Cricetulus griseus: one gene and its partners. Each later gene encodes a partner of the first gene's protein in a complex. Links are inferred from orthologs where the notes say so. Each region holds a gene or a part of one and is shown in the gene's direction. Other genes may lie near its edges. The genes, in order: Wdr5, Kat14, Ogt, Phf20, KAT8 regulatory NSL complex subunit 1, Sgf29 and Kansl3.

What was found.
Region 2: Wdr5 (region 1) and Kat14 share a complex: the UniProt entries of both Homo sapiens proteins name them as parts of the ADA2A-containing complex. The link is inferred for Cricetulus griseus from reciprocal best matches to the Homo sapiens genes WDR5 and KAT14.
Region 3: Wdr5 (region 1) and Ogt share a complex: the UniProt entries of both Homo sapiens proteins name them as parts of the NSL complex. The link is inferred for Cricetulus griseus from reciprocal best matches to the Homo sapiens genes WDR5 and OGT.
Region 4: Wdr5 (region 1) and Phf20 share a complex: the UniProt entries of both Homo sapiens proteins name them as parts of the NSL complex. The link is inferred for Cricetulus griseus from reciprocal best matches to the Homo sapiens genes WDR5 and PHF20.
Region 5: Wdr5 (region 1) and KAT8 regulatory NSL complex subunit 1 share a complex: the UniProt entries of both Homo sapiens proteins name them as parts of the NSL complex. The link is inferred for Cricetulus griseus from reciprocal best matches to the Homo sapiens genes WDR5 and KANSL1.
Region 6: Wdr5 (region 1) and Sgf29 share a complex: the UniProt entries of both Homo sapiens proteins name them as parts of the ADA2A-containing complex. The link is inferred for Cricetulus griseus from reciprocal best matches to the Homo sapiens genes WDR5 and SGF29.
Region 7: Wdr5 (region 1) and Kansl3 share a complex: the UniProt entries of both Homo sapiens proteins name them as parts of the NSL complex. The link is inferred for Cricetulus griseus from reciprocal best matches to the Homo sapiens genes WDR5 and KANSL3.

The regions. Positions count from the first base shown.
Region 1 is NC_048599.1:139,190,716-139,194,772, forward strand, and holds the start of Wdr5 (WD repeat-containing protein 5), read left to right. Parts: upstream 1-1,257; 5' UTR 1,258-1,408; intron 1,409-4,057.
Region 2 is NC_048599.1:34,612,822-34,616,321, reverse strand, and holds part of Kat14 (cysteine-rich protein 2-binding protein), read left to right. Parts: intron 1-1,539; coding exon 1,540-1,956; intron 1,957-2,537; coding exon 2,538-3,103; intron 3,104-3,500. UniProt on the Homo sapiens protein: Component of the ATAC complex, a complex with histone acetyltransferase activity on histones H3 and H4. May function as a scaffold for the ATAC complex to promote ATAC complex stability. Has also weak histone acetyltransferase activity toward histone H4.
Region 3 is NC_048604.1:68,640,124-68,644,268, reverse strand, and holds the start of Ogt (UDP-N-acetylglucosamine--peptide N-acetylglucosaminyltransferase 110 kDa subunit), read left to right. Parts: upstream 1-1,345; 5' UTR 1,346-1,566; coding exon 1,567-1,603; intron 1,604-4,145. UniProt on the Homo sapiens protein: Catalyzes the transfer of a single N-acetylglucosamine from UDP-GlcNAc to a serine or threonine residue in cytoplasmic and nuclear proteins resulting in their modification with a beta-linked N-acetylglucosamine (O-GlcNAc).
Region 4 is NC_048599.1:23,292,060-23,295,559, reverse strand, and holds part of Phf20 (PHD finger protein 20), read left to right. Parts: intron 1-1,966; coding exon 1,967-2,109; 3' UTR 2,110-3,500. UniProt on the Homo sapiens protein: Methyllysine-binding protein, component of the MOF histone acetyltransferase protein complex.
Region 5 is NC_048600.1:117,451,448-117,454,947, reverse strand, and holds part of KAT8 regulatory NSL complex subunit 1, read left to right. Parts: intron 1-1,419; 5' UTR 1,420-1,464; intron 1,465-2,711; 5' UTR 2,712-2,794; coding exon 2,795-3,500. UniProt on the Homo sapiens protein: Non-catalytic component of the NSL histone acetyltransferase complex, a multiprotein complex that mediates histone H4 acetylation at 'Lys-5'- and 'Lys-8' (H4K5ac and H4K8ac) at transcription start sites and promotes transcription initiation.
Region 6 is NC_048596.1:74,084,154-74,087,653, reverse strand, and holds part of Sgf29 (SAGA-associated factor 29), read left to right. Parts: intron 1-1,844; coding exon 1,845-1,920; intron 1,921-2,843; coding exon 2,844-2,916; intron 2,917-3,500. UniProt on the Homo sapiens protein: Chromatin reader component of some histone acetyltransferase (HAT) SAGA-type complexes like the TFTC-HAT, ATAC or STAGA complexes.
Region 7 is NW_023276807.1:11,828,258-11,832,303, forward strand, and holds the start of Kansl3 (KAT8 regulatory NSL complex subunit 3), read left to right. Parts: upstream 1-1,246; 5' UTR 1,247-1,323; intron 1,324-1,657; exon of another isoform or gene 1,658-1,793; intron 1,794-2,590; 5' UTR 2,591-2,641; coding exon 2,642-2,856; exon of another isoform or gene 2,857-2,875; intron 2,876-3,286; exon of another isoform or gene 3,287-3,355; intron 3,356-4,046. UniProt on the Homo sapiens protein: Non-catalytic component of the NSL histone acetyltransferase complex, a multiprotein complex that mediates histone H4 acetylation at 'Lys-5'- and 'Lys-8' (H4K5ac and H4K8ac) at transcription start sites and promotes transcription initiation.

The DNA.
Region 1 (4,057 bases):
ACACTCTGCTCCATTCAGGGCTCCGAACATAGGGATCAGGTTTGTTAGGCACACAGTATCACATCGGCTGTTTCTGTGTCCTCTTTGGAAGGGGATTCTGGGCCAGTTGCCAGTCTTCTCTCACTCCTATAGCTATGGGAACCACACACATTCTCAGCTCCAAAGGCTCACTTCCTTTGCACAGGTTCCTATGCTATATTTGATACTCCCACACTGGGAGATAAGAGGCCGCCACCATCTCCAAGATTCTAAGACCATGTGTGTTAGATAGTAAGATGAAGATGCAGCCTGTCTTCAGGTTGTCATTATGTCCTTGTGTCCTCTCTGGGTCTTTCCTCCATTAGTGACAGGAGTAGAGGTGGCCTACAGGAGAGGGGGCTGTGAATACTTTGCTTAATTCGGGCATCCTGCCTGTCTGGAGCTGTCTTGTGAAAATGAGAATTACGGTGAAAACAGAGACTTTAAAATGAGCCTCTGAGCCATACAGGAGCTGGATTGTAGTGGATACTGCGGTTGCCTGGAATGTGATCTCTGGGCACCCAAACTAAGGAGCAACTGAATGATGCAGTGGTTCCAGATGCATGCATAGCGAGAGGACCTAGAGCCCCTGTGTTAGGGACACTTGCCTTTCATCTTTCTTTTTTCCTTCCTTCCTTCCTTTTTTTTTTTTTTTTTTTTTTTTTTTCTTTCGAGACAGGGTTTGTGTGTAGCTTTGAAGCCTGTCCTGGAATTAGCTCTTGTAGACCAGGCTGCTCTCACAGAGATCCCAGATGCCTCTGCCTCCGAGTGCTGGCATTAAGGGCGTGCGCCACCACCGCCCGGCCTTGCGGCGATAGTTTCTAAGACCTTTTTCTGAGTATGGGGCTGCGTAGCACAGCCTCCTTGTCGCCTAGCTCAGAGGCGAGGCAAATGTGTCCAACTTGAGCTGTGGCTTGTAGCGGCAGGAAGCCCCCGCCCTGCGGTAGGCTGGGGAGGCCGCAGGAGCTCCGGACTTCCGGACCTCGTGGACCTCCACCAGTGGCACCGAGAGGGTTCCCAAGACCCCAGCGCAGTCACAGGCCAGGACGGCCAAGCTGTAATTATCAGCTTGGCGACACAGCATGGAACAACAGGAGAATCACAAAAGCACATTCCGTCCCATCCTTCACTGCAGACACCACGGGTCTGCAACCAATGGATCCCAGCTGTCAAGCAGGAAGCGAGAGCCGCCGGCGGCCCCTTTAAGGCACTCCTCCTCCTCTAATTTTTCTGACCCTCGTCGCCGCCCGTTGCCCCGCCCCCCGCGCACGCGCACTCCCGCCCGCGTACCGCGCCGCTGCCGCCTAGTTCAGGAGCTCGTCTGCTCTCGCGCGCAGAGCTAGCCGACGCGACGCCAGAGCGCCCGGCCCCGCCGCCGCGGCCCCGGCAGGTAAGAGAGTGAGCCGGCCCTTTGGGCGCGAGGCGGGCGGCGGCCACGAGGGATAGCGGGCTCCGGGATCCACAGCGCCGCACGTGTTCCATGGGCCTCAGGCCGGGCCCGGCGCCGCCTCTGGGGCCGCGCCCCGACCCCACCGCCCCTTGTGGTCGTCATGGCCCACTCCTCCCACGACAACCCCCACTGCGCCACTAGACCCTTAGTCGTGCGAGCTCCTCGAAGCACACCTCAGGCTGGTGTCCTTGGGGGTGGGATTCACGGTCTTTCACCCAGCCAGTATCTCCCAGGTTTCCTTGGCCACTTGGCGCCTCTCTTATGTTGCCAGTTGCCAGCACAACCTTCACCTGAGTTCCAGTGCAAATTTCTACCTGACGAGGCCTAACTCTAGTCAAGGGGGTTGTAAACACTGTCTGGGTCAGCACACAGTGGTGTGAAGCCAGGGCTACTAGGACCAAGGTACTAGAACCCAGAGAGAATGGGTTGTAGCTCTTTGTTGGGTTGGCCAGCTGCAATCACCTGAGTGAAACATTCTGTCTCTTCTACACTTGTGCACTCAGTGCCATCCAGGAATCTGCATTCGATTGGAGAGAGAGTAGTGACTGCTGCCCTTCCATGGCCAGGCTCACTGTAGTATAAAGCCCAAGCCACCTTCCGAGTATTCTGTTTAGCATACCTTCCTCTCAGAGCTGTCCTCCCCAATCCTGCTTTTCCGTAGGCTTAAAACTTGCACACCTAGATGCTCTGTCTAGGACTCTGCCCAGTGAAATTGGAAATCGGTGATTTCTTTTGAGACAGACTTATGTAGTTGCTGGCATCTCTTTTTAACTGCTTTGAACTCCTGAGCCTCCAGCCTCCGGAATGTTGTGAGGAAGACTGGCTAAAGTTGGTGGGATTTTTTTTTTTTTTCTTTCCTCAAGACAGGGTTTCTCTGTGTAGCCCTGGCTGTTCTGGACCTTGTTCTGTACATCAGGCTGATCTTGAACTCAGAGACTCCCAAATGTGGCCTAAAGCGTGGTGCTTTCATATGTTAATATTTGACATCTTGAAGAAAGACCCTGTCTGTCCACAGGGTATTGCGGGGTGGGGAGGGTGGTGGTGCACACTTGTTTGCAAAGTCATCCACCCACTGCTAGGTGAATCTCCTTATCTAAAAGAAGCTGTTTAGTTCCCAGAACCTTCCCACCCAAGAGACCTCCCCTACACTGTTGCCCTGTCCTTTTACTGGGGAGATTTGCTGGGCTTTGTGAAAGGGACTTTCAGCATCCTCAGCTCCTCCTGCTACCTGTATGGTCAGCAGAAGTGGTAGCTGTGAGAATCCATGATATGGCCAAATTTTCATTGAGAATAAGCTCCTGGCGTTGGTAGCACATGCCTTTAATCCCAGTACTCAGGAGACAGAGGCAGGCGGAACTCTGAGTTTGATACCAGTCTGGTCTACAAGAGCTAATTCCAGGACAGGCTTCAAAGCTACACAGAGAAACCCTGTCTCGGGGAAAAAAAAAAAAAAAGAATAAGCTCCTGGTCAGGCCTGGTGATTGATATATGCCTGTTACATCAACTGTACCCAGAAGCTGAAACAGGAGGCTTTTGAATACCAGGTACATAGCTAGACCCTGCTTCCAAAAAGCTAAAAACACCAAACAGCTGACATTTCCTGGGCACCAGAGCTTTGTTCCCTGGAGAACCTAGGGGATCTATCCTCCTCCAGTCCTTGCACCTGGGCTTGAGCTACAGCAAGCTATGACCGTGATGGAACGGGCTGCAGGTAAAACAGCTGGGCTGCACCTGTGCCCTTTGTGGTGGGCATTGTAACTGTTACTCCTCTAGGACTGAAGACTTTGAGACATGTTTTGTGTGTGTCCTTCATTTGCCTTAGTCTTTACATGGGGTCTGTGTGAGGTTTCAGGTTTAACCTCAAAGCTAGAATTTACATCATCATTCTTATATTGATGGCCGAGAAATCCATGACCAGTGACTGACATTTGCAAGTATGCCTTAGTAGTTCTCCTTTGAGGACTACTACTTCATTTCCAAGTCACATGGTGCGCTTTTGTGTGGTGCATCCAGGTGATGGACCTATTGCTGCAATGGAATTAACTGTTGCAGGTGTACACATTTCAGGCTGAGTGCTGACCAGAATAACTACTTTCCTCTGCACAGTAGCATGTATCTAGTTTGCAGTTCACTGCTGTTCTCGCTGCTCCTCCTGAGGAAACCTGTGGAGGCAGCGACCACTCTGGTTTACTCTTGTAGCTCTTTTGTAGTACTGTGGGCACTGAGTCCTTGAGCTCTGTGAGCTTATTCTAGAAGGCAGCTTTGTACCTGCAGCCTGTGAGATCATAGGGAGCAGCTGGTGAGGTGGTGGCCACTGGGTTCATAATGCCTGTGTTTTCATGATCAAATTCCTTGGGTGCATTTTAGGGTAAGCTCCCAAACTTCTGCACAGAAGGTCTACCTCCTGTCACTTGGCCTGTCAGTTTCTGTCAGAAAGCCTTTTTTTTTTTTTTTTCTTTCTTTGGTTTTTCGAGACAGGGTTTCTCTGTGGTTTTGGAGGCTATCCTGGAACTCTCTCTGGAGACCAGGCTGGTCTTGAACTCACAGAGATCCGCCTGCCTCTGCCTCCCGAGTGCTGGGATTAAAGGC
Region 2 (3,500 bases), about 100 Mb from region 1:
TAGGAGTGGAACCACCCACAATGGCCTAGGCCTTCCCAAATCAATTACTAATTAAGAAAATATCCTACAGGCCATCCTATAGCTTGATCTTACTGATCCTCTCTCCTCTCCATTGACATTAGCTTGTGTCAAGTTGACATAAAACTAGCCAGCATACCTGTCATGGACATTTTGGCTGTTTCTTCCTTTGTTGTTGTTATTGTGTGGTTTGTTGGTTGGTTTGAGATAAGGTTTCATGTAGCCAAGTCTGGTCTTGAACTCATGATACTCCTGACTCCACCTCTTCAGTTCTGAGATTACAGTTGTGCCACCATGCCTGAGCTTTTATTTTTATTTTATTTATTTTCTTTTGTGGGGGGCGGGGTTGAGACAGGGTTTCTCTGTGGCTTTAGAGGCTGTCCTGGAACTCACTTTGTAGACCAGACTGGCCTCGAACTCACAGAGATCCGCCTGCCTCTGCCTAGTGAGTGCTGGGATTAAAGGCGTGCGCCACCACCGACCAGCCTATTTTTAAAATAAATTTGTGTGTGTAGGGAGGAGGCGTGCCACATACACCTGTGGAGGTCAGAGAGCGACTTGTAGGAGTCACCTCAGGATGGAGCTCTGGTGGTCAGCCTCAGTAGAAGCCTGGGTTCTTTGAGGCAGAGTCTGCTGCTAGGTACTCAACTAGCACCCGAGGCAATCTCATGTAGCCTAAGCTGGCCTTGAATTCTGACCCTCCTGGGTGTACCTTCTAAATACTCTGAATAGGCATGAACCATTATACTCAGCTTTTCCCTTTTTTTGTCAGTATTTTAAACAGTGCTACAAATTTTCATATATATACATAGTATGATAAATTACTGAAAATACTGTTGGTGGAGCAAAGGGTTTATTTAGGTAAAAATGTCTGTGGTAATGCCAAATTACCCTCCAAATGTAAAAATTTATGTTCTACAAAAAAGTCAGGAAGGCAAACCATATTCTTGGTGATCATTATGAAATTTTACCAATTCTAGTATGTGAAAGATAGAATTGATGGTGTTAATTTGTTTAAATTTGCGTTGTAGCTTTTGTCTAAGCAAGTTCTTGCTATATAGGCTGGCGTTAACTCAATATTTACCTCTGGCTGGCTTTGAACTTGAGATTCTCATCCTTCTACTACTGAGATAATAAGTATGCACTATCATACCGAGCCAAAACTTTTTCCGAAAGTGAAGCAAGGTTTTTGGTTGGGGTATTCATTGAACATTTCTGTGTATTGAACATGGTGCCAATAGTAAATTATGAAAGAAATAGTTAACATTAAAAATATAGTTAAGGGATGGAGAGATGGTTCTGCCATTAGGAGCACTTGAGACTTTTGTAGAAGGCTGGAGTTCAGTTCCCAGTATCCACATCCAGGTGGCTTACAACCACCTGGATCCAGCTCCAAAGAATCTGGTGCCTTCTTTCACCTGTACATAAATGTCCAGAAATACATACATGTACACAGAAATAAAATACATTTTTAAAAAGAACAGTTAACATAGAAATTAGATGTTCATTCTTTTCTGGCAGCCTCAAAACCAACGCTGGATCCCATCATCACTGTGGAGGGACTCAGGAAACGGGCAAGCCGGAACCCTGTGGAATCTGCCATGGAATTGAAAGAGAAGCGTTCCCGAACACAGGAAGCAAAAGACATCAGAAGAGCACAGAAGGAAGCGGCTGGCCTCCTTGACAGGAGCACCTCTTCTACCCCTGTCAAGTTCATAAGCCGAGCCCGGAGGCCAGATATGGTTCTGGAGAAAGGGGAAGTAATTGACTTTTCATCCCTTAGCTCCTCAGACCGAACCCCGCTCACAAGCCCATCTCCTTCCCCCTCTCTGGATTTCTCTGCCCCGGGCACACCAGCCTCGCATTCAGCCACGCCTAGCTTGCTTTCTGAAGCAGACCTCATCCCAGATGTGATGCCACCCCAAGCCTTGTTTCATGGTATGACTTACTTGTGTTTTTCACCTTGTGGGTGAGTGAGCCTTTTAACACAAATAAATAAAAGACCCACAGACTGATATTTGGGTTCAAACTTCAAGCTGAATATCAGAGAAGCAAAGCAGCTGGCCACTAGCTCTCATCTCTAGCTCAGGCTGAAAGGGCTGATTCAAGCATGAGCTCTTCACCAAGTCTCAAACTGCTGCCTCTTCACAATATGACTGAAGAATGAATATCTCACTTAGACCTTGCTTCTGTCTTATATACTTGCCTGTTGTTGGGATTATAGGTGTGAGCTATAGTTCTCTTTAGACTGATTCACTCTTGTGTAGATCTGGGTGGCTTTGGACTCACGTAGATCTGTCTGCCTCTTAATCCTGAGTCGTAGGATTAAAGGTGTGTACTACAACCTCCACTTCTGGCTGCTGGGAATAAAGGTGTGCGCCTGGCTTTTATGGCTTGTGGCTGACTTTGCTTTTCTGAATCCTCAGGCAAGCTTTAATAAATCATAAATAATATATCACTATAAAGCCTTGTGCCTTGCTTTCCTGTATCTTGACAACAGTACTTTCTACTTTGCACAGATGATGATGAGCTGGAAGGAGACGGAGTTATAGACCCAGGGATGGAGTACATCCCACCCCCAGCTGGGTCAGCAGCTTCTGGGCTGGTTGGGAGCAGGAAGAAGGTCAGAGCTCCCGAACAGATAAAACAGGAGGAGGACAGTGATGAGGAGAAGCCAGACAGGATGGATGGAGATAGCGAAGACACAGATTCAAACACTTCTTTGCACACTAGGGCTAGAGAAAAGAGGAAGCCACCCCTGGAGAAGGATGTGAAGCCCAAGGGGCCCAGGTATGCTCCTGTGAGCATCTATGAGGAGAAGCTGCTGCTTAAGAGGCTGGAAGCGTGCCCCAGTGCTGTGGCCATGACTCCGGAAGCCCGGAGGCTAAAGCGGAAACTGATCATCAGGCAAGCTAAGAGGGATAGGGGTTTACCACTTTTTGACTTGGATGAGGTTGTGAACGCTGCACTTCTGTTAGTCGATGGGATTTATGGAGCCAAAGACGGAGGAGCTTCCCGGCTTCCGGCTGGACAAGCTACATACCGGACCACCTGCCAGGACTTCAGGATCCTTGACCGGTACCAGGTGATGTGGGGTGGAAGAGAAGTGGGGTAGGCAGCACCTGGCAATGGCTACTGTAAACTGTGGCATTTGATATCATGAGTAATTTGAGAAGAAAGCAATGCAAAACTTGCTGGGCTTCTTGTTCCAACATTGCTTTTCATTTAATGCCCCTTCCTATATCTGAGTTTCTTTCTTACCCGGCATCCAAGAAATAGCCTAGACATTTCTTGTCTCTCTCTTGAGGGTAGCTATATGTAGTCTGTTTCATGGTTTTGATTGACAGATTTGAAGACATGTAGTATCTATCCTAGACCGTAATGAGCTGGAGCTGTGGTATGTAACTATCTGTGTACTTAGGGCTTAACTATGAAGAACTATGGGGTCAGCATTACTCACAGGGTGAATTCCACACGTGCTC
Region 3 (4,145 bases), on another chromosome or scaffold:
GGGCTTGCCAGGTATCTCAAATGAAAAAATAAAGCGGGTGTCCAAGAGAGTGTGTGTAGCGAACTTTATCACTACATGCTGTGTTTCTATGAGGCGAAAGAAATTAATAATATTATCAACTTTCTTTGCACTCATATCCAGAGTTGACAGTTTGGTCAGTGATTCCAAGAAATTGAAGCAGCATTTGAGGATTTATTTATTTTTTATGTCGCCAAGGGGTTAGGAAACAAACATTTTTACACAAGTTCACTGATTTTTTCTTAGATCAAAGAGTTTTTTTTTTTTAGAAAAAAAAAACAGAAACAAAAAGGCTCTAAGAGACCTAACTATAGCCTCTAGTGGCTTGAAGTAATTGCTTGCTGATGTGACAAGTTATGTTAAAAATTTTCCAGGAACAAGGCAGGAGGTATAAATTAATAACAGTATGACAAAATGTCGGAAAGCTGCATTTGAAACCGCAGGAGGATCCTAAGCGCTGTTTTGTCAAAGGAAGGCAATACGGGATTCACCGTAGATGTGTAGCGAATTTTAGCATTGTTGAATTGCCTTAAGGTCAACGGCATTCGCGGACCTTAACAATTTGCAGAGCCGTTTGGCTAAACGAAGTCACAACTCAGAATCAGAAATTTTGATGAAAACGAATTATGTTTAACATTTCCATGGTTGCTTTTGGCATGCGAAATCGCAGCAGGTCCCTGAGTAATTGAACATTTATTTTGTTACTGTAGACCATTATTCTCCCGAATACCACAACGATTTTGAATTTTCGGGCTATATGATTCAAATCGGACACGTTTAGGTTCACGCAGCAAAGGGAAAGCATCATTCTTCACATCAAAATACTTAAATTCATGGGTGGAGTCCGAATCAAGAAGCATTCAAATCGGAACCGGCTCCCCCTTCGTTTTGAACAGTTCCGTCTCTTGAAATACAATTCTTCGCATTTACTTGCTTAGAACGGACACACTAGCCATGTAAACTATCCATTATCTTACGAAACTTTTCTAGACGTCTCTGACATTCCTGTTAACATCTACATCAATGACCGGGTAGTAGACTTCTACTTTAGCACTTGCCAAAAAATGTAATCGACGTGCGTTTTTTGCCCTTCCGCCTGGCTCTTAAAAACTTGGAAGCTCTTGCCCCACAGGGTGCCCTTAACCCGGAGTTGCCTTGACAGAGTTGTCGCATGCGCTTTCTATAGCCGTGTTTGTCGCAATGGACCTTGGGCGGAAGGTTACGTAAGAGCAAGTGATTTGATTACAGTCATTTGTCGGTAGTCTTGTTACGCGCTACCTCCGCGGGGTACTTGATTGTAACAGAAAGTAGTTCCGGCCTGTGTTGTTTCGGTCGAGGAGCCGTCGCCGCCATTTCAAGACAGGGAGAGGTAGATGTCTAAGTAGAGTTCCCAAGATTCGAGTTCAGTATCTGCTGCCGCCCCTTAAGCCTTCCAAAACACTGATACGGCTGCTGCCCCCTTTCTGCTACCTCTAGAAACATTCTTGCCAGTAGTGGCGGCAGTAGAAGTCAATTACCCCCTTCTTGCTCTATATCAAGAAGCTCCAGATGGCGTCTTCCGTGGGCAACGTGGCCGACAGCACAGGTACCAGTGTCCCATTCTACTTTGGCAGACGTCCCTTTGGGGTCTGGCGCCGTCTTGTATCTCTCATCACTCCCTTCCCTCTAACCATCCCCATTACATCAGTGGCATTGCTGAACTCTCTTGAGTTCTATTGCCATCTGATAGGGTTTGGTGCTGTCGTCCGTTCTGTAAACAATCCCTCGTTGCTTGCTTGCATTTTGCTTGCTTTTGAGCTTTTTCGTTGGTATTTTATACCATCAGTGTTCTAGCATCATCTCCCGGGACGCGTCTAGCACACGTGCGCGCTTAGAATGTCTTGGAATGGGCTGCATTGGAATCCCTGCTCTTTCTGTCTCCATCGCAACTCCTTTCTCCCCTAATTCCAGCTCGTCGATCCCCCCAGTGCACTTCCACTTCCCTCCACCCAAGCCTTTTTCCCCTTGGCCACATTTAGTACCCCTCTGCCAGTCTGGGGCGGGGGTGCTATTTTGATGTAATCCTAGCCTCACTTTGCATCAGGCAAAGACTAGCAAAAGCTCGTCGATGTGTTTCCAAGTAACCTCAAGAAGAAGGGACCTTGAGCCTGGACGCCGGCTGGCACCTGGTTTTCTTGGGTTGAGTGGCCTCGGTTTAGGTTGGAAATTTCCAGGGGTTCTCTTAGCCATCGCCCAAGTGCACCCGCTGCCCCTGTCCTGACTTTCCCATCCTGTCGGCCCTCCCCGCTCGTGGCAACCACACCCTTCCTCCGCAAGTGTGCCAGCCCGACGGTCGTTTCCTATCATTGGGAAAGAAACCACCTCGGTGCGTTGCTTGGCGTTGACCACCCTTGCCCGCCCAATTCTTTGTGTTACTTTCTCAATGTATTCCTCCGCCGCCGCCTCTGGGTTTTCATCCCCATTCTTTAGCCCAGTTATTTCTTTATTCATAGGGTGTGCATTTTTTTTTTAAGTTTCCATCCTTGCTTGAAGAGTTTGTAAAGCACCTGGAGTGTAGCTGCACAAGTGCAAAGTTGTTGCCCCTTTTCGACAATTCATTCCTGAGCGTTCGTTACTAAAAATAAGAAAACAACCAAATTGTAGGAGTGTCCTTCAATTGCCTTTCCAGATTGAGGCTATTTGGGGAGGGAGGGAGTGAGGAACCCGGCTGCGGTTCTAAGGTTTCCGAGAGGATATTGTTTTTTGTTGTTTCGCAGTCGCGGTGTATCAAGGTTTTAGTTGTGCGACATTGTGCGATAAATGGATGAATCTTCAATAGTATCTCATCCATAATTGATGGCAGTGGGATTAATAATTAGTTCCACCCCCGCAGTGGTCGTTTCCCACAGTGAATTTCAAAGATTTAAGATTTCGCGTTAGAATTTTGTAAGCGCTTGCCCTTTTCTGACTGTTAACTTTATTTGAGGAAATGGCCTTTTCCAGTATTAAAAGAGCAGATAACCGACTTGGAAAAGTGCCGACAAGCAATATGCTAAATTTAGGAGCTAGAAAGTGCTGCATTCTGTTCTAAAATGTAATTTTCTAGTTGATCTTAAAGATCCGACCTTAGATTTGGACACAAATCTTCCCGGTCTTTGTGTCTGTGGTGGTCAACTGTGCATTCTGTCAGGAAATTGCTTTCTAGAGCATCCAGAGCACTCATCAGCTCTGATACGGGGGAGCTTGGCTTAAATTTGAGCTTGTCCTCACGACCTTGGTAAAATTATGTTCGGTCTGTGGTTTCCCATTCTAACCATCTAGAGAGTGTTATGGTAGAATTCCTACTTGTATCACTGATGAGAGAAATGTTTATAGCTGAGCCTTAGGCATGTATCTGAGCTTCAGCTTTTCATTATGTATCTAAACCAAGTTCCACAGAATAAAATTATTTTTTGTCATTTATTATGTTATATTTTACCCAGTGTTTTATATTGTAGCGTTTTTAAACTATTGCAATGGTAGATTGCGTAGATATGTAAAGGGTTGTTTTCAACGTCTTAATCCTTCCGTGAGAGCCGGGAACACAGCGGAAAATGTTAACGCTAAGGCAGCGTGGGTGGGATTTAGCTAATTTGGTCTCCTTGTGAGTCCTTGCCAGTAGACGAGGAACATTTGGGTCTTTGTTTAAAATGTTTGGTGAAGGTATTAAATGCTTTAGCCCTTGACAGATACTAGTCTTGTTTATCAGCTACTTTAAAAGTGAAAGTAGCACTCTGACTTCAGTTGTTTTCCTTAGGCTTGTTTTTATCGTTGCTCCTAAAAAAATAAAGCTGTAAAACGCACAAACATCAGTATAGTTCTCAGACACCTGGAGTCACCTGCACTGAGAAAGTGTTAGAATACCCCAGCCTTTACTAATCCAACGTGAAATGTAGGATGAAGTATTATTAGCACTAGGTTATTCTGACAAATCTTTGTGATTTCATGTTTAATGTTTTGTGTGACAATGTGCTAACTTAGTTAAGTGACTGTACCTACGATTTAAAGTTTAAAACTACAAAATTAAAAAGACAAATCTCATTTGGAAGTAAATATTGCTGTGGTTTAGAAAAGAAAGCTTTAGTAATGAGTGAATTTAAAGAGATGAA
Region 4 (3,500 bases), about 120 Mb from region 1:
GCGCACGCCTTTAATCCCAGCACTCGGGAGGCAGAGGCAGGCGGATCTCTGTGAGTTCAAGACCAGCCTGGTCTACAAGAGCTAGTTCTAGGACAGCCTCCAAAGCCACAGGGAAACCCTGTCTCGAAAAACCAAAAAAAAAAAAAAAAGTTTTTTTGTTGTTGTTTTTTTTTTTTTTTTCTTTCAAGGCTGGCCAGAACTGGCTCAGTGGTTAAGAGGGACCTGGGTTCAATAACCAGCACTCACATGGAAGTTCACAACTGTCTGTAAGTCCAGTTCCAGGGGATCTGGCACCATCACGCAGACATATGTGCAGGCAGAACACCAGAGCATAAAATAGAAATAAATCTTTAAAAAGAGTTTTTTTCAAATTCGCATGTATGTGTGTTGGTTGTATGGGCACAGCTTTATACCACAGCATGGTTGTGGAGGTCAGAAGACAGCCTTGGGTGTCAGTCCTCATTGTCCACTTTGAGGCAGGGTCTCTTGCTCACCACATGAGCCAGGCTTGCTGGCCTACAAGCTTCAGGGGAGTCCCTTGTCCCTCTTGTTTCTGCCTCTCATTTCTCTGTAGATTCTTTTGATTTCATTTGTGCTGCCACATCTGACTTTATGTAAATTCTGATTATCCAAACTGGTTCTTAAGCTTTCGTGAAGCTTGTTATCTGCTGAGCCATTTCACCAGCCTAGGAAACTATCTTGTGCTTTTAAAACACAAACAAACAAAACAACTTTTTTGGGGGGTGGGTAGGATCTCAGTGTGTATCCCTACCTGTCCTGGAACTGGCTCTGTAGCCGAGGCTGGCCTCAAATTCAGAGTTCCACCTACCTCAACCTCCTAAGTGCAGGGATTAAAGTTGTGTGCCACTATCACCTGACCAGATAAATTGTTGAGTCAGGGTCTCTCTGTGTGGGCTAGGCTTGTCTCTGCATCCTGAGTGCTGGGATTAAAGGTGTACACCACTACTGCCCCACTACACTAATTTCTTAAAGAGAGAGAATAAGTGTATTTTGTGCTGATAACTACATATCAAGTATTAACATGAAGCAAGTCAGAATTGACAGTGATTTAAAAAAAAAAAAAGTCCCTGTAGATGCTTCGTTTTTCTGGCAGGACAGCCTGCCCTGTTTACATGGGAAAGCTTTAAAAAGACAGATAACTCAGAGTAGTCTTCAGAACCTTCTGGACTCTGCTCTGGCACAACAGCCGCTAGCATTGTGTGGCTAGTTAACATAATTAAAAGTGAATGCAGCTGGGCTCTGGCTCTCACCTTTAATCCCAGCACACAGGAGACAGAAGCATGTGAATCTCTTTGAGTTTGAGGTCAGCTTGGGCTACAGAATGAGTTGAGTTCTAGGATAGCCACACAGAGAAAACATGAAAAAAAGTGAATACAATTCAGGTGCACTCCTTAGTTTCACTCACCCTACTGTAAGAGCTCAGCAGCTGTATCTGATTTGACTGGTGGTCACTGCATTGGGGAACATAGATATAGATCATTCCTTCTATCACTAATTAGGGCTTCAGGCCTGCACTGTGGGGAGGCATCGATGTAACCAAATACCTGACAAAAGCACATTGAGTAGCTTATCATTTCAGAGAGTCCAGTCCAAAGCTACTTGGTCTAGTCCTGGCAGTGAGAGCCTGTCGTGGAGGCATCTGGCTATGTCTTGGCAGACAGGGATGATAGAGGAAGGGATGCAGGCATAATTGTCAAAGGCATACCCCTAGTGACCTACTTTCTCTCCAAATAGCATCACCAGCTAGGGTCCAACCATCCACCACACAAGCCTATGCTTACCATGCAAACCCTAACATTAGAGCTTTGTGCCCTGGAGCAATGCTTTGTGGGGCGCTAATATTGGGGCAGCCTGGGTTGAAATGGCCTTGTGGCCTTGTGGCCTTGTAGGTTTTTGTAAGTCAAGTTCTAAGCACTCAAGGGTCTTCTCTCTCTTCTACCTGCAGTACTGGAGAGCTGGCTGGACTACACTGGGGAACTGGAGCCCCCAGAGCCACTGGCCAGGCTTCCACAGCTCAAGCATTGCATCAAGCAGCTGCTGACTGACCTAGGCAAGGTGCAGCAGATTGCCCTCTGCTGCTCGACATGAGATTGGGCGCCCAGGACAATTGGAGCACAGTCCTGGCATGACCGCCAGGGGGAGCTTCGAATATTTAAATAAATAAACTTAGCATGCTGAATGCACGTGACACTGACTGACTTCAGGGATTTGGCCAGGAGTGTGATGGACACTGGGACAAAGAGACCATTTTGGCTGCTGGAGGACGGGGCACTCTTGATCTGGAAGCCAACTACGAAGGCAGCGCATAGTCTTAGAACCCTCTTCTGTGCACATCGTTGAACGAAGCGAGTCTTTGCACATCTTCACTTGGAATCGTGCCACTGGTGATAAATGGAATGAGAGCCAAAAAAAAAAAAAAAAAAAAAAATCTAGTTGGAAACAGTTGTAAATTCAAATTGCAGTTTATTGAATTGACTTTTGGGTCAGGTTGAGGCATATACCAACCCCTCTGGTTTCTCTGCCTGGTGTGGTGTATGGCAGCAGGCACTGTTTGTTTTCATCTTTCAGCTTCACTGGAATATTGGGACTTGACTGTGCCATGCAGTTTGGGAAGGAGAAGCACGGCCTTGACGGCACTGCCTCCTCAAGACTTCATTTTCTTGCCACGTCTCTTGCATGATTTCACGGTACGGGGGACAAGGTTTTATGCTGTTTTTCAGCCCACAGTAGGCTGGGCCATGGCTTTGGCAGCCAAGCCGAAACTGCCGAAGGAGAACTAGAATCTTGCTGCGATTCGAATCTACAAGGAGTCCCAGAAGGAAGCAGGCAGGGTCTGGAACCCAACGGACAGCATTTTCTACACATGTATTAATTCCAACAACTTCCCACTTCTGTTTAAAGTTTAAAAAAGTTTCCCAAGATTTTGAACTATTACTGTAAAGATTTGTTACAAAGAATGTGGGAATTACCTTATTTTATATTGTCGTCAGCAACTTGAGATTCTGTGTGCCACTCTCCTCCTCTTTGGAGGCTAGTGTGGTAGCTGGCATTTTCAGAGCTGCTGATGCACTTTAACACTTTCAATTTCCTGTTTGTATTACTTGTGAGATCAAGGTGATTATGCTGCTTAAGGTCCAGGTACAACCTGTTTGTACGTTCAGAGAAAATATTTGTGTTATTTTGTAGGTTCTGGTTCCATGTGTAATTGCTATATTGTTTTGTTTTACCTTACTAGGCAAAGTTTAAAAGGTTCCATGCTTTGAGGACTTGATTTAACCAGTTTTTGCATCACTAAAGGCAAATATCAAAGTACCTTTATCCATCAACACCCCCAGGTTCATCATGAGTTTTGGAATCTGTAATGCTTTAGGCAGCAAATATTTACTATGTAAACATCAAGGAGCCAATGTCAGTAGCTAGAATAGCAGCATCTCCAGCTGCCTCAGGAACTGTTCAGCTTCAGGCGTAACAGGTCATTG
Region 5 (3,500 bases), on another chromosome or scaffold:
CATGCATGAGGTGCACATACACATATACATGCCTATATGGAGGAAAACATTCATACATAAAAATGAATCTTTATAAAAAGATGGCATTCCAAGAAGGCTGGCTTAGCTTGGCAACTTAATAGTTCGGGGACTGGAGGGGTGGGTTGGTGGTTGAGAGCACTGATTACTCTTCCAGAGGACTGGGATTCTATTTCCAGTGCTCATATAGTGGTTCACTACCGTCTTAAACTTCAGTTCTAGAGGAACCAATGCCCTCTTGTGAATTCCTCAGGCACCAGTCACAGCACTGATACACATGCAGACAAAATATTCACAAACAAACATTTTTAAATGTGATAATTTTTTCTGAGACTTCATGAAGCTGAATTTTTGTACTCATTCCTTTCAACACAGACAATTAAAGAAGACCAAGGAGGGATATATGAGAGGGTTTGGAGAGAGGAGCGGGAGGGATAGATGATGTAATTATCTGGGAAATTCAAAAGTTTTAAAATTAGCAAAATCCATAATGTTTACTTGTGTCATCAAGAACATCTTTTAAAAATAAACTAATAGTTAATTTTGTGACTGTATGTAGACTCATGCTGTAGTACATGTGTGGAAATCAGGACAACTTGAAGGAATTGGTTAAACCCAGATGTTCAGGTTTGATGGCAGGCATCTTTACTTGCTGGGCTATCTAACAGGCCCAAGAACATCCTAAATGTAATTGGCATTTTTTTTAAGCTGCAAGTGAGGAATACTTTGACTACTTTCATTGTTTGGTGCTATTGTCTTGGTATGTACCAGCAGTTTTGCTTATCTCTGTTTTTGGACCCACATTGCAAATGTTAACAGTTTGTAAAAGGCAGGGCCAGCAGAGATGGCTCAGTGGACCTAAGGCACTTAATGGCCTGAGTTCCATTCCTAGGTTCCAACGAGAGAACCAGATCCTTCACATTGCCCTCTGACTTACACAGCTGTACTGTGGAATCCACAACCCCCACACAAAAATATTTTTTTTGTTTTTTTTTTAACAATTTTATTATTATGTGCATTAATATTTTGCCTGTATGTCTGTGTGAAGGTGTCAAAACTCCTGGAGCTGGAGTTACGTTGTGAGCTGCCATGTGAATGCTGGGAATTGAACCCTGGTCCTCTGGAAGAGCAGACATTACTCTTAACTGCTGAGTCCTCTCTCTAGCCTCCAATAAACATTTTTTTTTAAAAAAAGCAAATGATGTTTTAATATTACTGAAGTTCTCTGGCCACACTCACACTGTAGGCATATGTTTGCCTGGAAGTACAAGTGTACACACATAGCAGCAGCAGTAGTGTGTGTGTGGGGGGGGGTATGTATTAAGATCCCTAGAGGTACAGAGATTGGGCTTTTAGGGATAGTTGAAACAGTCCTTTATATAGATTTCCCTTTGCTTCCAGACCCAGATAGATGAATCAGGAATGAAGAAGCAGCAGTTAATTGAGGTATGTCATTAAGAAAATGAGGCAGGGTGAGAAAGGAAAAGGTTTATTGAAAGAAGAAAGAGAGTTCTGAGTTTCCAAGGATGATCAGATTAGAAAGTTAATTAGTGCAGCTCAGAATTTTTTTCTGAGAGTTAGTGGTCCTCTTACTAGTAGTTGTTGCTAAGGAAATGAGAGAGAAGGCAGAAGGAAGGGATCTTGGGTGGTACCAACATTTTAGGAGGTTTGAAAGGAAGAATAGAATAGAATTATAATGCCAAGAATATCAGGAAAGAATATTTCAAGAAAGTCCATATTACTTAATACTTATGGGAAAGTCAGAATAGGACTGTAGATTTAATAATAACTGGATAATAATATTACTGGTTAATTTTCCTGGAGTGTGATAGGAATGGAAACTAAGTTCTAGAGGAGTGAATAGTAAGGTAACTGTAGCTATTCCTTTGAAGTGTTTTGGGGGAAGGGGGAGAAAGTTATGTTGGGCTATTAATTTAAAGACACAGATTTACTCTGAAAAATAGCCCAGTAGAAAAGACACTATGTGCTATATGAAAGAAGAAAATTAATGAAGCAAATTGATGTTACAGTGTGATGTAGTTAGCCTGGTAGTAACAATCTAAATTTGTAAGGAATGAGCTAATGAGAACTGGATTCCTGGCCAGAAAAGTAACACAAATCCATGAGATTTTGGCATAAACCTTTTAATGAGAATAACATGTTTTTCTATTACTGGATATTCCTCTTATATGGTCATATTAAATCTAGTAATTTAACATTTAAAGAGCCCCCTCCCCCCCTTGGTTTTTCAAGATAGGGTTTCTCTTTGTGGTTCTGGCTTTCCTGGAACTCATTCTGTAGATCAGGCTGACCTCAAACCTAGATCCTCCTGCCTCTGCCTCCAGAGTGCTGGGAATAAAGACATGTGCCACCACCACCTGGCAAAGAGGTTTTAAGTGCAGGTAATTGTAACCATTTGTGATTATTTCAGAATGGGACTTCTATTTTGACAATATTCAGCTTGTGGTTAACAAGTGACACGAAGGGTAAAATTATTTTCTTGTGAAAGCATTGTGTTCCTCTCTTTCCCCTAGGTGAAAGACATCTGAAGGCTGTAGAATGGTTCCTTAGTTAATTTTCTTTATTTGGAGGCAGAGTTTGGACAATAGCCTCAAGTGGTGCTTCTATTGAAAATGTGTGTTGTTTTTGAATTCACTTGTATTTCTGACTTCCTTTCTCTCTATCTCTTTCAGTTTGTTCTCAGGGGAGGCAGTAAGGGGCCGTGGAGCTGGCCTCAGCACTGGAAGAGGCTGGACTTCCTGTCTCTCTGTGCTGAATGGCTGCGATGGCGCCCGCTCTCACTGACGCAGCAGCTGAAGCACACCACATCCGGTTCAAACTGGCTCCCCCATCCTCCACCTTGTCCCCTGGCAGTGCCGAAAATAACGGCAGCGCCAATATCCTTATTTCTGCCAACGGAACCAAAAGAAAAGCCATTGCTGCAGAGGATTCCGGTCTAGACTTCCGAAATAATCCTACCAAGGAAGACCTGGGAAAGCTGCAACCATTGGTGGCATCTTATCTCTGCTCTGATGTAACATCTGTTCCCGCAAAAGAGTCTTTGAAATTACAAGGGGTTTTCAGCAAGCAGACAGTCCTTAAATCTCATCCTCTTTTATCTCAGTCCTATGAACTCCGAGCTGAGCTGTTGGGGAGACAGCCAGTTTTGGAGTTTTCCTTAGAAAACCTTAGAACCATGAATACAAGTGGTCAGACAGCTCTGCCACAAGCGCCTGTAAATGGGTTGGCTAAGAAATTGACTAAAAGTTCAACACATTCGGATCATGACAATTCCAGTTCCCTCAATGGGGGAAAACGGTCTCTCACTTCATCTGCTCTGCAGGGAGGTGAAGTGGGGGGATCTGACTCTGGGAACTTGAAGGGGGGTATGACCAATTGCACTCTTCCACATAGAAGCCTTGATATAGAACACACAACTCTATATAGCAATAATAGCGCTGCAAACAAATCTTCTGTTAATT
Region 6 (3,500 bases), on another chromosome or scaffold:
AATGTGTGGGGTTTAGATAACCCAGCCTGCTGAGTTAACCCTGTTAATCCCCTGCTGCCCAGATTACTACCCTGGCCTGTGGCTGCCTATTTCTGGGCTGCAGCTCAGTTGAAAACAAACCCAGTCACCTTGCCTCAGTCCTTGGCACTACATACTAAAGTCTACCACCTTCCCTTGAGACAGACGCAGGTGGTGTTTAGAATAATTCTTATTGGTATTGACATTGCTTCAGGATGTAGCTTAGGTTTCTCTGTTACTGGTCCAGGTGTAGTCATGATGCATCACTGTATTACAGGTACCCTGGAGGTCCACAAGAGTACCATAAGTGTACCTATGGGCTATAGCATTGAGGGTGGAAGGCCTTTGTCTTTTGCCTTCTCTGGCCTCTGTCTGTTCAAAATAGCTCTGCTCTGTTGGGTCAGTGTTTAAGGCCTTTCTTTCCCCATGATGGATGGTTTTAGCATTTTTGCTGGTCCTGCCTGACTCTAGAGGCCCTCACTATTTCTAGATTGACTTCCATTGGCCTTTTTCCTGTAAGAGAACTCACGTTGATCTTCTTATTCTAATTAACAAATACTTTCCCTCTGAATGCAGCTCCTCATTCATCATGAATTTGTCTTGTCCCACAAGGCATAGGCATCACCAAAGCCCTCTCTGTCTGTGGGTCAGTGTTTACTCTGCCACTCATGTTGCAGATGTATACTGATAGCATAGGAATAGTAAAGTGTCAAACCAGAACAAGTACAGTGCCTCATTCTAGGACTAAAAGGTGATAGTCACATGTATGTTTATTTGTCCTGCATGTAGTACCAAGGAATTGAATCTGCCAGGTGATGCCTCTACTTTTTTTTCCAGACTAATTTTATTTTATGATTATGGGTGAGTGCCTACATGTATGTTTGTTCACTACATGCATACTTGGTGCCTCTAGAGGCCAGAAGGGGTTGTCAGACCCCCTGAAGCTCTAGTTATAGACAGTTGTGAGCTGCCACATGGGTGCTAGGACTAGAACCTGGGTCCGCTGGAATAGCAGCCAATGGTCTAAATCTCATTTCCTCCTATATATTAAAATAGCTTTTCTTTCATTCACAAATAAAGCATGATATGTGTTTGTGCCTGTAGCATGCCGTGTGGCATGTTGAGCATGCCATTGCTCTGTTTTGTCCATTATTACCGTTCCAAGCATTTGCTCATTGAAGTGTGTGTGTGTGTGTGTGTGTGTTGTTTTGCTTTTTTGAGGCAGGGTCTCTCTATGTAGCTCTGGTTGACCTGGAACTTGCTATGTAAACCAGGGTGGCCAAGAACTCTTAGAGACCTATCTGCCTCCTGAGTGTTGGTATTAAAGGTGTGTGCCACCACGTCTGGCTTATTGATATTTATAGTCAGTTACACACTGGTGGTTCTGCTGGACCACATGGTCTAGTGAACCAGTAGGGAGCAATTCCCAGGAATTCCTCTCTGGGACATACTAGTTGGTATACCCTGAAAAATAATTGTAAAATACTAGCGAATATTTGCTTAATGAAAGATCCCAGTGGGTTACATATATGCTTCATTCCAACTGTGTGACAAACTCCAGAAAGGAGAAACTAGAGAAAGTAAAAGTAAAATGATGTCATTGGCAGAGCCTTGGGATAGTTGGGATGGATGCAAGAGTTAGAGGAGCAGGGAGGATGTCTGGGGAGGTAGGACTCTTGTGTATGATACTGTAATGATAGGTATGTAACCGAAGCGTCTGTCAAAACCCACAGGACAGAATTACACAGAGGAGGTCTTCATGTAAACAGGGAGCTTTTGTTAGGGTAAATGGTCTACTTCATGGTCTCTTGACCTTATCTTTCTAGGAAGAACGCTCGAGGAGTGAGCACAACTTGGTGAACATCCAGAAAACCCACGAGCGAATGCAGACTGAGAACAAGAGTGAGTACCTGAGGGCAGAAGAGAAAGGAAGTGGGAATGGCTGAGGCCAGGAGCATGGCCTTACTGTGTCTTCAAAGGGAGTTTTGCTTGTATCTGCATATCCCAAAGTTGCTCTTTAGGGTCATTGTTCCTTTGTCTGAATGACTTAAAGTGACAGGACTAAAGACAGTTGGCCTTGCACTAAAGGACCTCAGAGTCTCTCAGCTCGGACTGGAAAGGCAGCCTTGAAGCAGGAAAACTCACCCTTACCTTAGAGCTCATAGGCATGGGGCTTTTCGGGAGCAGAGTTCCCCCATGGCCTCTGCATATGCCCCAAGGCAGGTCACCCCCTGTGCCTGGGGCTTTCTAACTCAGAATAGCTTTGGACAGTACTTGCTTCTCCTTGGTAATGATGTGGACAGGAGGCAGGTTAGAAAGCAATTTTTAAGAATGGTGGTGGCGTCTTTACCATATGGAAATGTGGCCCTGTTGAACAGGGAACACTTTTTTTTTTAATGTATGTTGGGATATGTGTATGCACATGTGTATGTGTGCAAAGGCCAACCTCATGTTTTGTTTCTCACCATTCATTCGCTGGATAACCCTGACTGTCCTAGAACTCTGTGTGGGCCAGGCTGGCTTTCAGTTTATAGATATCCACCTGCCTCTGCAAGTGCCGAGATTAAAGCAAATGCTACACATCTGGGATGCCTGGCTTTTTTTTTTTTTTACTTAGGTTCTGGTGATAGAGCTTGGTTCCTGGTACTTTCAAGGCAAGTATTTTACAGACAGAATCATCTTACTAACTTCCTGGGAGCATGTTTGAAGTGATAAAGCTCAGACCTTGACCTCTGAGCCTCTTCAAGCTGATTCTGATGTCCTGGAATCAGGGTTGCATGCTGCCACCTCCTCTTGCTCATGTCTCCTCATGCTTGTGTTTATAGTTTCTCCTTATTACCGGACAAAGTTGCGTGGCCTCTACACAACCGCCAAGGCTGATGCGGAGGCTGAGTGCAAGTGAGTAATGCCCACAGGGCTGTTGCTGCTCTGTTCCCTGACGTCTGGTGCTGGACCACATATTCCCGAGGCCACAGCCCCAGCTGCCTTCTGTCTGTGAAGAGGGTCCTCCTACTCTGCCTCTCCCATTGCTTGAACCTTCCCAAGCTCTTCCTTCTTTATCCATTCCTCTCCTGTATCTTATTGCCTTGTAGATGACAGTAAAGCAGTGTTGTGTCCCTGCATACCATTTCCTAGTCACATGACCTGGTAGTCAATTCACTTGAAACCCCGTTGCTTTGTCATTAAAATCAGGGTAATAACTCCCTGCTGGATTGTGAGCATACAGTGGGATTATGTGGAGAGAATGACAGATTCTATCAACTGTTCTGACCCTCCCCTGCCATGGGAATATGCCGACTATTGCAGCCTGTAATGGTAACAAGGACCACTACCTGGCACTACCTGGTACCATTCCAAGTACTTTCTTAATTTTTTTATTTTTGAAACAGAGTCCCATAATGTAGCTCTTATTGTTCTGGAATTCACTATGTAGACCAGGCTGGCCTCCAACTCACAGAGATTGTCCTGCCTTTGCCTCCCTA
Region 7 (4,046 bases), on another chromosome or scaffold:
GCAGACAGAAATATGTGAGTTCGAGGCAAGCCTGGTCTACAAAGCTAGTTCCAGGGCTACACACAGAGAAATCCTGTCTTGAAAAACAAACCAAAAAACAAAAACCAAAAACACCCCACAAATAAGCAACAAACAAACAAAAATAAAACAAAAAAGCAACCCCACTGTGTTCTATTAGGCATGGTGATGCAGGCTTGAAATGCCAGCACTTGAAAGGCAGAGAAGCAGAAGGATCAAAAATTCAAGGTCATCCCTGCCTCTACTGCTAGGTTGAGCTGAGCCTGAGATACATGGGACCCTGTCTTACCACTCGCCCCATAAATGAATAAGTAAGTAAGCAGTCAAAGATGCTGAGTTCGAAAGCATAAAGGTGGGGTAGCTCATGGTAATTGCCATCAAGAAGTCAATTCGAGGTCTTGACAGGTGGCCCATTGCATTCCCCTGGCATCCTGGAGAGGCAGGGCTAAGTATTTGTGCATTTAGAGATGAGAAAAGGCTGAAGCCTTGCCTGCTGTGATCTGTTGAACCAGGCAGTTAGATGTTGAGCCTAACATTCCACCTCTATCTCATCCCAGTCTGAACTCTGCCAACTTCCCTTTATTCCTTAAACTCTGCAGAGCTCTAGTGTTGGTTCCAACACGCTGCAAAGATTTTCCTCTTCCCCTCTCTCCAGTTTGTTTTGAAGTGTTGAGACAGGGTATCACGTTTTAGCTCAGGTCGTCCGGGAATTCACCGTGATCCTCCTGTCTCAGCCTCCTGCGTGCTGGGGTTATAAGGATACATCACGTGGCTGGACTGAAGGTAACCCCCACTCTCCTACTGCAAATGGAACCCAGCTCTTGGCAAAGGGACAAAGGTGGGGACACAGAGTACTTGGGTTGTGGCAAATACCTTGTTCTTTTTTATTTCCTTCGAGACAGGGTTTCTCTGTGTAACAGTCCTGGCACTCACTCTGTATACACCAGGCTGGCCTCGAACTCACTGAGATCCGCCTGCCTTTGCCTCCCATGTGCTGGGATTACAGGCGTGCGCCACCACCACCCGGCAACTATCTTGCTCTTTGCCCTCACTTTTCCTGCAGAAAACACAGAGGGAGGACAGGACGTCTCCGCCTGGGAATTGTGTGCCCCTCCTGCGCTACCCACTGGGCAGCGAAGTCGCGGGAGCGGATCCGTTCCGGGCTTTGCCGCTCGCCGCCGCGCGGTCCCCAGGCAGCGATCCATTTCCGCGCTTTCGTCAGAGCCCACCGTGCCCGGCGCGGAGGCGGTAAAGCGCACGCGCGCTAGGATCCGGCTCGGGCGAGCGCGCGGCCGGCGACTGCTGGTGAGACGCGGGCCTGGCCCGGCGCGGGTGGCGGCCCGTGGGGTTCGAGGCGGCGGGCGGCGGTTCTGCGAGGCCCTCGGGCTTCGCGGGCATGCGGGGGGCCGGGACTGGAGCCGCGGGCCCGGGGCGGCCCGGGCGCGCGGAGGCCGAGACGGCGCTGGGGCGGCTGAGGCGCGGGGCCGAGAAGGGCCCCGGGAGGCGGGGCCGGGCGGCTCCTCCTCGTCACGAACTCGGGATGACCTTGGCCAAGTCGCTTAGGCCCCCGAGCCAGCGCCGTCGCCGTGCCGCCCGGGTGGGCCGTTTTGAGGTTTTGCGGCTCCGTGGCGAGATCCTCCCTGAGGAGCGGGCAGTTTGCCGGGCGCCTCGCCGTGGGAGGGCGGAGGAAGAAAGGCCTCCCGAGGGCCCGTCCCGGCACGGGCTGAGGGCGGGCTCTCGTTTTTTATCTGTTCAAAACTCCGCTGTAACGTGAGGTCGGTGCAAAACTTTGGAACGTGACCCTAGGAGACTACCCTTAATCTCAGCCCAAAGCGGTGAAACCTGGAGCCCTGGGCAGCAGGCTGCTTCCTGGACGCCCGCGGTGCCAGGCTGTTGTTCCAGGAGTTGCCCGAGCCCACAGGCCCTGCCCAAGCCCTAAGGGGATGGAAAGTAGGGACCCCTTAGCTTTTGAAAGAATTCATGCTTGTGATTCTTCTTGTTTGCAAAAGAAAAAAAAAAAAAACCTTTACCACCCAAGAAGGAAATTGCATAGCAGATTTAGGTCTTTATTTTTTGTTTTGCTCTCCCCCCCCCCCCCCCCCCCCCCCCGTCTCTCCCTCTCCCTCTCCCTCTCTCTCCCTCTCTCTCCCTCTCATGTCTCTTTCCTCCCCCCTCCCTCTCTCTCTCTCTCTCTCTCTCTCTCTCTCTCTCTCTCTCTCTCTCTCTCTCTCTCTCTCTCTCTCTCTCGGCAGGAACTCACTGTATAAATCAGGCCGTCCTCGAATTCATGGGGATCTGTCTGCCTGTGCCTTCCCAGTTGTGGACGAAAGGTCTTTGTAACTGTGGAGTCAGTTTATAGTTACGTAATTGTGGATTTTGTACAGCACCGGAACCAATAAGATACACAGAATGACTTGCCCCATCACACCGGCACCTTTTTTGTAGTGGTGTGGGAACTCACTTCTGTGTGAAAGGGCATAATCGATGATAAGACTGATAGGCATAAAAGCGTATTTTGATAGTTTACATTGGGAGAGATTGAAAATATTGAATTGACCACTTTTCACTGCAGGTGACTAGTATGCAGATACTCACACCCTGACTTGTCTGCCAGACTACTGACATGGCCCACCGGGGTGGGGAGAGGGACTTCCAGACTTCAGCTCGGCGGATGGGTACCTCCCTGCTCTTCCAACTTTCAGTGCATGAGCGGGAGCTGGACCTCGTTTTTTTGGATCATAGCTATGCTAAACCATGGAGTGCCCACCCAGATGCCAGTAGTGCCCGCCCCACCCGCATGCTCTTTGTAACTCCCCGTCGGCAGCAGGAGAATACTATGTGAGTTTGAGAATACCATGTGAGTTTGGGTTTCCTTCTTAAGGGCTACTTCTGCCTAACCTTGGCAGTGATCATATGGTGGGGATTAGAGAAGTGTTCTTGGGAGTGATTGGGGTTCGGGGGTGACTGGAGAACTTGGTTGAGCAGCCTAAGCATATCAGGGCAAGTGTGGACATCTTCACAGACATCTGCAGATGGGAATTAGAAAAGCAAGATATCCAAATGAAAACACAGCCTAGTCCACTTAGATAAGTGTAATAGAGCTTGTGTGGAAAGAGAAAACTGAAGAATTTCCTTGTCACTTTACTGCAGCATCTGATTTGCTTGACAGTGGCTACAATATATCATTCCCTTTCCCTGGCTTCAGTGCACAAATCACAGATTCGGAGGGAGTTCCCAAAACATTGCTTTCATTCTTACCTCCTTACAGAAAGCCACCTGTGGGTTAATCTAAACCCTCCTAAGTCTCATTATATTTCCAGCCACCTTACGTTAGAGGGTAAGAAAATTTCAAAACTTTACTATCTGATAAGTGATTTGGTTACATCTGACCTAACTAATTAGTCAATTATTTTGAACCTTCTGATTTCACCCATTTCCGGATTTGTTGAAATGCTCTAGACTGGTCATTACAAATGTTTGGATAAGAGATTTTGTGTTTGTTTTTTTTTTTTTTTTTTGTTTTGACTTAATGTTTAATCTTTTCTCAAGCACAGTTTTTTTTTTTTTTTTTTTTTTGTAGGGGTAGTGGGTTCTCTCTCTCTACACACACACACACACACACACACACACCCCTTTGAGTATTGATGAGTTAGAGGGACCATTATGTGTTTTTAAGCAAGTGTAGAATGTTGGATGTTTTTATTGGTTTGTTGTATTTTTGAAATTGGGTTTGTTTACACACATACACACCAGTCCCTTCCCCTCCCCAAACAGTAGTACAGCTAAAGATGATTTTTAACTCTTGATCTTCTTGCCTGCACCTCTCAGGAGCTAGGATAATAGGTATATGCTGCCTTGATGAGTTTGTGTATTTTCTTTTGGGGCAGGGTATTTACTCTGTATCCCTGGCTAACCTGGGACTTGCTGTGTAGCTTAGGGTGGTAGCTTATTCTTGATCTTCCTGTTTCTGCCTCCCAAGCTTTAGGATTGCAGCCATAGGTATGGCTTAGAAGAGTGGTTTGTTTGAA